Macaca mulatta: one gene and its partners. The protein of the gene in region 1 interacts with the protein of each later gene in a biochemical or structural test. Links are inferred from orthologs where the notes say so. Each region holds a gene or a part of one and is shown in the gene's direction. Other genes may lie near its edges.

Region 1 (2,332 bases):
CCCCTAACATCAAAATTCCCATCATATTGTAGCTCTGATGCTATTTCTCATTGAGAACTGAAATGAAACATGGTTTAATCTTGAACATACAACCCCCCTTCTTGATTTTAAAAACAAAGACCAACCCACCAACCAATGTGTAATCCCATAGACTGAGGATTTCTCATGAGTTCTCTCCAGTGATTGACTTAACAATTGCTATGATTGTTGAAATCATGACTGATATGTTGTTAACAGCAGGAATTGCTAAATGACTAAATAAACTTGGCATAGATAAGCAGCATTTAAGAAGTTGATGATCGGCCAGGTGCGGTGGCTTACGCCTGTAATCCCAGCACTTTGGGAGGCCGACGTGGGCGGATCACGCGGTCAGGAATTTGAGACCAGCCTGACCAACATGGTGAAACCCCCCCTCTACTAAAAATACAAAAATTAGCCAGGTGTGGTGGTGCGCACCTGTAATCCCAGCTACTCAGGAGGCTGAAGCAAGAGAATCACTTGAACCCAGGAGTCAGAGGTTGCAGTGAGCCGAGATCGCACCACTGCACTCCAGCCTGGGCGACAGAGTGAGGCTCTGTCTCAAGAAAAAAAAAAAAAAAGAAAACAAAAGAAATTGATGATCAGCTCAGCTATACATCAATCCAATTTTAAGGGTGACTTGGATGAAGTTGCCGTCCTCTAAGTCAGGGAAAGATGGATCCCCAGATGATCCCGTCATCCTGAAGACGAGGCTGTGTGATCCGTAAAATGAATAAACACACATGTACACCTATGAGTTCCACTTTTACAAGTTATTAATTTAATTCATTTCAGGTACTCAGGAGTTTTGCTTAAGTCGCTATATATAAAATATAGACTTTAATATCGTGATTGATGGAGAGCATTCAGCTTGCCTTAGATGCTGTAAATTCAGGAAAAGCTGAACGTTAAGGTGTTTTTGTTTTTTGGTGAGCGTGATTCATGCTAATAACCAGACGGGATAAATTTGAGGCCAGTTAACTTCTCTTTTTCCACAAGAGTAGTTTTGTTGTTGTTTAACTTTACTTTTTATTTCTTTTACCTCTGGTTTAGAACGATACCGATTACCTAGAAATCAAATCATTCAGGATGAGCCCTTGTTTCTTTCAAACTGCAGTTGTGGAAAAACAAAATCATTGGCCTAAATTACCCTGCAGATTACCTCAGACTTCCTTTTCATTTAATCACTTTACTTGATTTGATTCAGTTTTAGTTAAATGTACATTTTAAGTGGCAGCTGATTTAAAAGTAACATCTTTAACCCAGAATTAAGTAGCTTTGGCTGTTTTTTTACATGTTGATCTATGGAAGGACTAACAAAAAAATTGCTTCTTTAGATGGCTCCATATATGAAATGTTTTGATGTGTTCTAGGACGTAACTTTGGGCTTTACATTACTGTCTGCTTAGAATCTGAGTGCTGTTTAATAGTGAGCCAGTTGCGGGATATCTCAGTAATGTCTTTTTAAAAATCTCTTATTAAAGGTAGAACCTCTGCTCGCCAGACAATTATATTATTTTGCTCAACAAAACAGTGGACATTTCCTGAGGGGCTACGATTTACCGGAACACATCAGCAATCCAGAAGATTACCACAGATCTATCCGCCATTCCTCCATTCAAGAATGAAAAATGTCAAGATGAGTGGTTTTCTTTTTCCTTTTTTTTTTCTATTTTTATTTTTTATTTTATTTTTTTGATACAGGGTCTTGCACTGTCTCCCAGGCCGGAGTGCAGTGACACGATCTCAGCTCACTGCGACCTCCGCCTCCCAGGTTCAAGAGACTCTCCTGCCTCAGCCTCCCTGGTAGCTGGGATTAAGGTGTGAGCCACTGCACCCACCCAACACAGACGATTTTCATTGTAAATATTTGACTTTAGTGAAAGCATCCAGTTGACTGCCCTCTTGCTGTTTTGAGGAACTCAGAAGTGAAGATTTCAGTGCAGTAGCTGAGGAGAATTGCCGCCAGACAACTGTGGAAAATCAGTGACATCTGATTGGCAGATGAGCTTATTCCGAAAGGAAGGTGGCTTTGCACTTCTTGCGCTCTGTAGACTGCCATCATTGATGATCACTGTGAAAACTGACCCCGTGATGTGTTTACATTTGCTGAAATGTGTTCTTTAATTTGATGTAGACTAGGTCTTGCTGGAGGACTGAGAACACTTGCCTTTCAGTGTTGACACTGACTGGAGCGATGACTGCAGGCGAGTCTGTACCATTTCTCAGGGAAGTAAGGTGTAAACGGAAGAAGCCTCACACATAGAAGAAATGTATTAATGTATGTAGGAGCTGCAGTTCTTGTGGAGGACAC
Region 2 (3,654 bases), on another chromosome or scaffold:
GTCTACACTCACTCATGCACTCAAGCGCGTCGCCACAGCTGGCCACAGTGAGATGAGCTTGTTCACACTCTGACCTCCCCTGGCAGAGAAAGCACTGGAGAAATCATCAACAACACTGTGCCCTTGGAGAACAGCATTCCTGGGAACTGCTGCTCTGCCCTGTTCAAGAACCTGGTGAGGGGCTTTGGGGTGCAGTGGGCAGTGAGGGGGGCACCACTAGGAGACTATGGGACTCTCCTTGGAGAGGATGTCGGGAAGCCCAAGAGGAGCGGTCTCTGTCCTCATGCACTCGCCCTTGCTCTCCCTCACCCCACCCACAGCTTCTCAAGAAGATCAAGCGGTGTGAGCGGAAGGGCACTGAGTCTGTCACAGAGGAGAAGTGCGCTGTGCTCTTCTCTGCCAGCTTCACACTTGGCCCCGGCAAACTCCCCATCCAGCTCCAGGTGAACTGTGGCCCAGCCCTACCCCAATCTGGGACCCCGAGTCCTTCTCTAATGCCACACACAGGGTCCCTGGACCCTCACCTCCTGTGACTGCCCCATACCCCATGTGTCTGGGATTCATGCACACTGGGGCCCGGGTGAGTGGGGTGAAGCAAGAACATGGAGCGCACGGGGCAGGGAATGGTAGCGGATAGCAGCAAACACTTAGGAAGCACTTCCTATAGACCAGGTCTCTCTATTAAATGATACACACACACATGTGTGCCAGCACACACACGTTTGGTTTTCACAGTAACATTATGAGGTAGGCAGTATTATCAGCCTCATTTTATAGATAAGGACATTGAGACACAGTTTAAGTAGTTTGTCCCAGTCACACAGCTAAGTGTTGGAGCTGGTATTTGAAACCTGGAGGTCTGGCTCCATAGCAGTGACTCATAACCACTTCTCTAGAGTGAGGCCCTAACTGAGCTTCAGAAAACTTTTAATAACATGGCATGAACTTTTTGATTATGATGTGTGAGTCCAGTAACTTCTCTGAGTGCTCAGAGCCAGCCCCCTGAGGAAACTTCTTGCTTTATTAAGAAACCCCTGTCCAGCTGGGCGTGGTGGCTCACGCCTGTAGCCCCAGCACTTTGGGAGGCCTGTAGCCCCAGCACTTTGGTAGCTCCGGAGGTCAGGAGTTCAAGACCAGCCTGGCCAATATGGTGAAACCCCGTCTCTACTAAAAATAAAAAAATTGGCCGGGCGCAGTGGCTCACGCCTGTAATCCCAGCACTTTGGGAGGCCAAGGTGGGCAGATCACAAGGTCAGGAGATCAAGACCATCCTGGCTAACACGGTGAAACCCCATATCTACTAAAAATACAAAAAATTAGCTGGGCGTGGTGGTGGGCACCTGTGGTCCCAGCTACTTGGGAGGCTGAGGCAGGAGAATGGCGTGAACCCAGGAGGCAGAGCTTGCAGTGAGCCGAGATCGCGCCACTGCACTCCAGCCTGGGTGAGAGTGAGACTCCGTCTCAAAATAAATAAATAAATAAATAAATAAATTAGCTGGGTGTGGTGGTGCAGGCCTGTAGTCCCAGCTGCTCAGGAGGCTGAGGTAGGAGAATCGCTTGAACCCGGGAGGCAGAGGTTGCAGTGAGCTGAGATCACGCCTCTTCACTTCAGCCTGGGTGACAGAGCAAGACTCTGTCTCAAAAAAAAAAAATTCTTAGCACTTTGGGAGGCCAAGGTAGGAGGATTGCTTGAACCTGCAAGTTTAAGACCAGCCTGGGCTACATAGGGAGATCCAATCTCTATAAAAAATAAAAACTTAGCTGGATTAGGTGGTCCATACCTGTAGGTCCAGCTATTCAGGAGGCCGAGGTGGAAGGATCACTTGAGCCCTGGAGGCTGAGGCTGCGGTGAGCTGAGATTGTGCTACTGCAGTCCAGCCTGGGCAACAGAGTGAGATACTATCTTAAAAAAAAAAAAAAAAAGGAAAGAAAGAAAGAAAGAAAGAAAGAAAAGAAACCCCTGTCCTCACCCTCTTCAGGCCCTGTCTCTGCCCCTGGTGGTCATCGTCCATGGCAACCAAGACAACAATGCCAAAGCCACCATCCTGTGGGACAATGCCTTCTCTGAGATGGTGAGGAAATTCCTGGAGTTGGAGGGAACAGGGGCAGGGTGGGTTCTAATATGGGCAGTGGTGCAGGCCTGTTGATGGGGTGGCAGGCATGTTTAAATGGGTGTGACCTTAACACCTTCTCATGGGCCTACTTTCGTACTTCTGACCTCTTTTCACCCCAGTCTTAACAACTATCAGGCCACAGCACTGTAACCTAGAAAAAACAGCATGTTCGTGAGCGATATCAGGTGCTGTGGATGGGCAGGCCATAGGCAGGTGGGAGGGATGAAGGCCGGCCTGAGGAAGAACAAGACGGTAGCCTCTGATGCTCTCTTCTTCCCCCTTCTCCTCAGGACCGCGTGCCCTTTGTGGTGGCTGAGCGGGTGCCCTGGGAGAAGATGTGTGAAACTCTGAACTTGAAGTTCATGGCTGAGGTGGGGACCAACCGGGGGCTGCTCCCAGAGCACTTCCTCTTCCTGGCCCAGAAGATCTTCAATGACAACAGCCTCAGCATGGAGGCCTTCCAGCACCGTTCTGTGTCCTGGTCACAGTTCAACAAGGTCATTCTCCTGCCCTTTGGACCTCCCACCCCCAAGCTCTTCATGCCTCAGGCACTCAGGGCCTGCTCAGCCTCCACGCAGGGACCTTCCGCTGGAGTCTCCACAGTGCCCTCTCAGGTCCTTTAGGAAGGCCTGTCATGGACCAGGGAGGAAAAACCCCAGGTCTGGGGGTTGGCTCCAGAGATGCATTCTCTGACATCCCTGTGGTTTTGGTCTGGGGGTCATCTGTCCTTTCTCTTTACCAGCGACTTGCATGACTCACCCAGGTTGTGTGTAAACAGAGCTCTGATTCAAAGTGACTTTGACCCATTGGAAAAATTGTTCCTGGCTGGGCACAGTGGCTCATGCCTGTAATCTCAGTCTTTGAGATGCCGGGGTGGGCGGATCACCTGAGGCCAGGAGTTCGAGACCATCCTGGCCAACATGGTGAAACTCCATCTCTACTAAAAATACAAAAATTAGCCAGTTGTGGTGGCACATGCCTGTAATCCCAGCTACATGGGAGGCTGAGGCAGGAGAATCACTTGAACCCGGGAGGCGGAGGTTGCAGTGAGCTGAGATCACACCGCTGCACTCAAGCCTGGGTGACAGCGCAAGACTGTTTCAAAAAAAAAAAAAAAAGGGGGGCCAGGCATGGTGGCTCATGCCTGTAATCCCAGTACTTTGGGAGGCCGAGACGGGTGGATCACCTGAGGTCAGGAGTTCGAGACCAGCCTGGCCAACATGGCAAAACCCCGTCTCTACTAAAAACGCAAAAAATTAGCCAGGCATGGTTGTTTGCGTCTGTAATCCAGCTACTCGGGAGGCTGAGGCAGGAGATGAACCCAGGAGGTGGAGACTGCAGGGAAGATCGCACCATTGCACCCCAGCCTGGGCAAGACTCCATATCAAAAAAAAAAGGCCCAGGCTGGCTCACACCTGTAATCCCAGCACTTTGGGAGGCTGAGGAGGGCGAATCACAAGGCCAAGAGATCAAGACCATCCTGGCCAACATGGTGAAACCCTGTCTCTACTAAAAATACAGAAATTACCTGGGCATGGTG
Region 3 (3,654 bases), on another chromosome or scaffold:
ACCAGGTGCGTGCCACCGCCTGCCCCGTCCCCCAGGAGACTGCCAGGCCTGTGGTGGGGCCCGGGAGCTTCACAGGAAGCTGACACAGGCTCTTACCCAACTCGGCTTCCTGCCCCACAGCGCCAACGGCGGCTGGAGCCCCAACGGCTGCTGCCTGACCCCCCGAGTGACCTCGTGACCCCACACCCCTTATCTCATCTCACCCCGAGTATGGACAGACCCCAGATAATTCTTGCACCTCACCGAGCCTCCCCACCCCAACGCCTTGTTGTGAACCCTCGTGGGCCTCACTGTCTTCCACCCCCATTCACTTGCCCTCATGGATCCCACACCAAGTCACTGAACATGTCTACTGACCCTGCCTCTCCCCAGTGACCCTCCCTACTGACCCTAATCTGAATCAGTGACCTCTGCTGACCTCTACCACCCCTACTGGCCTCCAGGGTCCCTCCACCACTCATCACCCCACCTATCAAACCCCCTTCCAGACCCAATGCACCAGCCCCCAGCACCAGCCCACTGTGGGCCCACATAACACCTCAGCAGGGAGGGGAGCAAGCCACCGCTTCCCCGGTGCCCACAGCCCTAAACCAGGAGGCCCAGCTGGGAGGGCTGGGTGGGCTGGATGTCAGCACCCCTGGCCCCACAGCCTGCACCCTATGTGCAGCGCCTCAACTGGCCCCACTTTTCCCTGGCCTTCCTCCAGTCTCCTGTGCCTGCCATTGTCCCCTGCCTTCTGCACTCCTTCTCTCCCCAGCTAACCTCCCTCCCAGCCCCTCTGAGCTGTAAGCTGGCCCTTCCTGACTCTGATCTCCTTCCCCCACCGTCCAGGTCTCCTACCTGCCCCGGATGTGCCTCCAGTACCCACCCCTGTCCCCAGCCCAGCCCAGCTCAGATGAGGAGGAGGGCGAGCGGCAGAGCCCCCCACTGGAGGTGTCTGACGGCGAGGCGGACGGCCTGGAGCCTGGGCCTGGGCTCCTGCCTGGGGAGACAGGTGGGGCATCTGGCCCTCCACCCTGGCCCCAACCCTGGCTGTGTCTGTGCCCTCCCCCACCCAGCCAGGCCAACTGACCCAGCAGCCATGCCGCCGAGTTGCGTGTGTGTGTGTGTGTGTGCATGTTTGCCAATGTATGTGTTTTGTGGGGCTGTCTGTGGCCGTCTCTATGTGTGTGTGTGTGTGTGTATCTGCTGTGAGTGCATACAGGCATCTCCATGAAGTGTGCCAGGTGTGTATGTCTCTGTGCCATGAGTGTGTGTAGATCTGGGTGTGTGTGAGCAAGTGTGCAGAGTGAGTGTGTGTGTGAACAGATGTAGGCAGGTGCATGTGTGCAAGTGGCTGAGTGGGTGTGTGAGAAGGTGAATGTGAGAGCTGGTGTGGATGAGAGTGGGTGTGGCCATGTTTGTGTGTATCAACATATGAATGTATTTCAGTGTGTGTGAGTGGTTGTGTGCACGTGTGTGAGGTGTGCATGTATGATCATGTCAGTGGGTGTCAGCATTGTGTGGGTATGCGTGTGTGAGCAGGGATGTGAGCATGGTATATGTGAGTGGGTGTGAGCAGGCGTGAGTGATATGTGTGAGTGGGGGTATGACAGGTGTGTGAGCAAGTGTGTGTGTGAATGTGTATATAAGCAGGGATGTGTGTGATATAAGTGAGTGTGTGAATGGGCGTGTGTGTGTAGGTGTCAGTGGATGTGTGAGTGGATGTGAACATGTTTGAGGGTGTATGTAAGCAGGTGTGTGTGAGCAGGAAGGTGTGAGCTGGGGTGTGTGAGTATGTATCTGTATATGTGAGCAGGTTTGTGCATGTACGTGAGTGGATATGTGTTTTAGCATGTGTGAGCATGTGTGTGTTCTTGTGCGTGAGCAGGTGTATGTGGGGGGTGAGGGCATGCTTGAGCACCTGGGTGTGTGAGTGGGTGTGCATGTGAGTAGGTGTGCGAACGTGTGTGTGTGAGACAGAAGATATATGAATGAGTGTGTGAGAATGGGTGTGAGTGGGCTGGGCATGGTGGCTCATGCCTGTAATCCCAGCACTTTGGGAGGCTGAGGCAGGCGGATCACCTGAAGTCAGGTGTTTGAGACCAGCCTGGCCAACATGGCGAAACCCCGTCTCTACTAAAAAAAACGAACATTAGCTGGGCGTGGTGGTGAATGCCTGTAATCCCAGCTACTTGGGAGGCTGAGACAGGAGAATTGCTTGAACCCGGGAGGCGGAGGTTGCAGTGAGCCAAAATCATGCCATTGCACTCCAGCCTAGGCAATAAGAGCAAAACTCAGTCTCAAAAACAAGAGAATGGGTGTGAGCAGATGTGACATGTGAGCTTGTGAGCAGGTGTGTGAGCTGCTGAGTGGGTGTGAGAGCAGAATGTGTGTGAGCATGAGTGTGCAAGTGGGTGTCTGGTTGTGTGTGAACAGGTGTGTAAGCATGCAAGTGGGTGTGTATGAGTACAATGTGTGTGCATGCGTGAGCAGGTGTGAGTGAGGTGCAAGTAAGTGGTGTGAAATATGAGTGAGCAGGTGTCAATGAGGTGTGAATGAGCTGGTGTGAGCATTGTGAGTGCATGTGTGAGCAACTGTGAGGTGTGAGCAAGCCTGTGAGCAGGAATGTGTGAGGTGTGGGCATATAAGGTGTGAGCATGTGTGTGTGGGTATGTGTGGGCTGGTGTGTGAGTGGGTGTGATTGAGAGATGTGACCATGTGTGTGAGGTGTGATTATGTGTGAGGTGTGAGCATGTGAGTGGGTGTGAATGTGTGACGTGTAAGCATGAGTGGGTGTGTGTGAGGTGTGAGCATGTATGAGGTGTGAGCATGTCTGTGAGCATGAGCGTGTGAGCATGTGTGTGTGAGAGACGTAGTGTGAGGTATGAGTGTGAGTTGTATGAACAGGTGAGCATGTGAGCAAGTGTGAGTGGGTGTGTGTGAGTGAATGGTGTGAGGTGTGTGTGAGCATAAGTGTGTGAGCAGGGGCATGTGTGTGGGTGAGTAATGTGATGTGTGTGAGGTCTGTGTGTGCAAATATGTGTGTGAGCAGGTGTGGGCAGGTGTGACCATGTGTGAGTGGGTAGGTGTGTGTGTGAATGGTGTGAGGTATGTAAGCATGCGTGTGCTGAGCAGAGGCTTGTGTGTGTGAGGGTTAGCAATGTGAGGTGTGAGGGTGAGCAATGTGAGATGTGTAAGCAGGTGTGTGTTTGTGCAAGCATATATAAACAGGTGTGATTATGAGACCTGGTGTGAGGTGTATGAGCAGGCGTGTGAGCACATGAGTGTGTGAGACCTGGTGTGAGGTGTATGTGTGAGTGGGTGTGACTGGGCATGTGTATAAGTGTGAGAAGATGCATTGTGTGGGTGTGACCGTGCATCTGGGGGTGTGAGTAGGTCTGAGTGTGTGTGCATGTGAGTGGGTGCATTGCATGTGTTTGTGTGCATGTGAGTGGGTGTGAATGAGGTGTGAGCATGAGTGGGTGTGAGTGGGGTGTGAATGGGTTGTGAATGTGTAAGCAGATGTAGTGTGTGGGTTTGAGCATGCAGGTGGCTGCAAGCGTGCGAGTGGGTGTGTCATGTGGGTGCCAGTGTGTGGGCATGTTAGTGAATGGGTGTGTTTGTGTGCATATGTGTGGGTGTGAGCAAGTGCATTGTGTGGGTGTGTGTGAG

The links. The genes of interacting proteins can lie anywhere in the genome.
Region 2: the proteins of IRF4 (region 1) and STAT6 form a complex in vitro, tested with the Homo sapiens proteins (2 studies listed by BioGRID). The link is inferred for Macaca mulatta from reciprocal best matches to the Homo sapiens genes IRF4 and STAT6.
Region 3: the proteins of IRF4 (region 1) and SPI1 are reported together in a solved structure, tested with the Homo sapiens proteins (2 studies listed by BioGRID, with this or other methods). The link is inferred for Macaca mulatta from reciprocal best matches to the Homo sapiens genes IRF4 and SPI1.

What each region holds. Positions count from the first base shown.
Region 1 is NC_133409.1:182,855,439-182,857,770, reverse strand, and holds the end of IRF4 (interferon regulatory factor 4), read left to right. Parts: intron 1-1,502; coding exon 1,503-1,646; 3' UTR 1,647-1,747; downstream 1,748-2,332. UniProt on the Homo sapiens protein: Transcriptional activator. Binds to the interferon-stimulated response element (ISRE) of the MHC class I promoter. Binds the immunoglobulin lambda light chain enhancer, together with PU.1.
Region 2 is NC_133416.1:64,257,807-64,261,460, reverse strand, and holds part of STAT6 (signal transducer and activator of transcription 6), read left to right. Parts: intron 1-86; coding exon 87-174; intron 175-320; coding exon 321-443; intron 444-1,979; coding exon 1,980-2,072; intron 2,073-2,404; coding exon 2,405-2,611; intron 2,612-3,654. UniProt on the Homo sapiens protein: Carries out a dual function: signal transduction and activation of transcription. Involved in IL4/interleukin-4- and IL3/interleukin-3-mediated signaling.
Region 3 is NC_133419.1:18,241,051-18,244,704, forward strand, and holds part of SPI1 (transcription factor PU.1), read left to right. Parts: coding exon 1-5; intron 6-831; coding exon 832-994; intron 995-3,654. UniProt on the Homo sapiens protein: Pioneer transcription factor, which controls hematopoietic cell fate by decompacting stem cell heterochromatin and allowing other transcription factors to enter otherwise inaccessible genomic sites.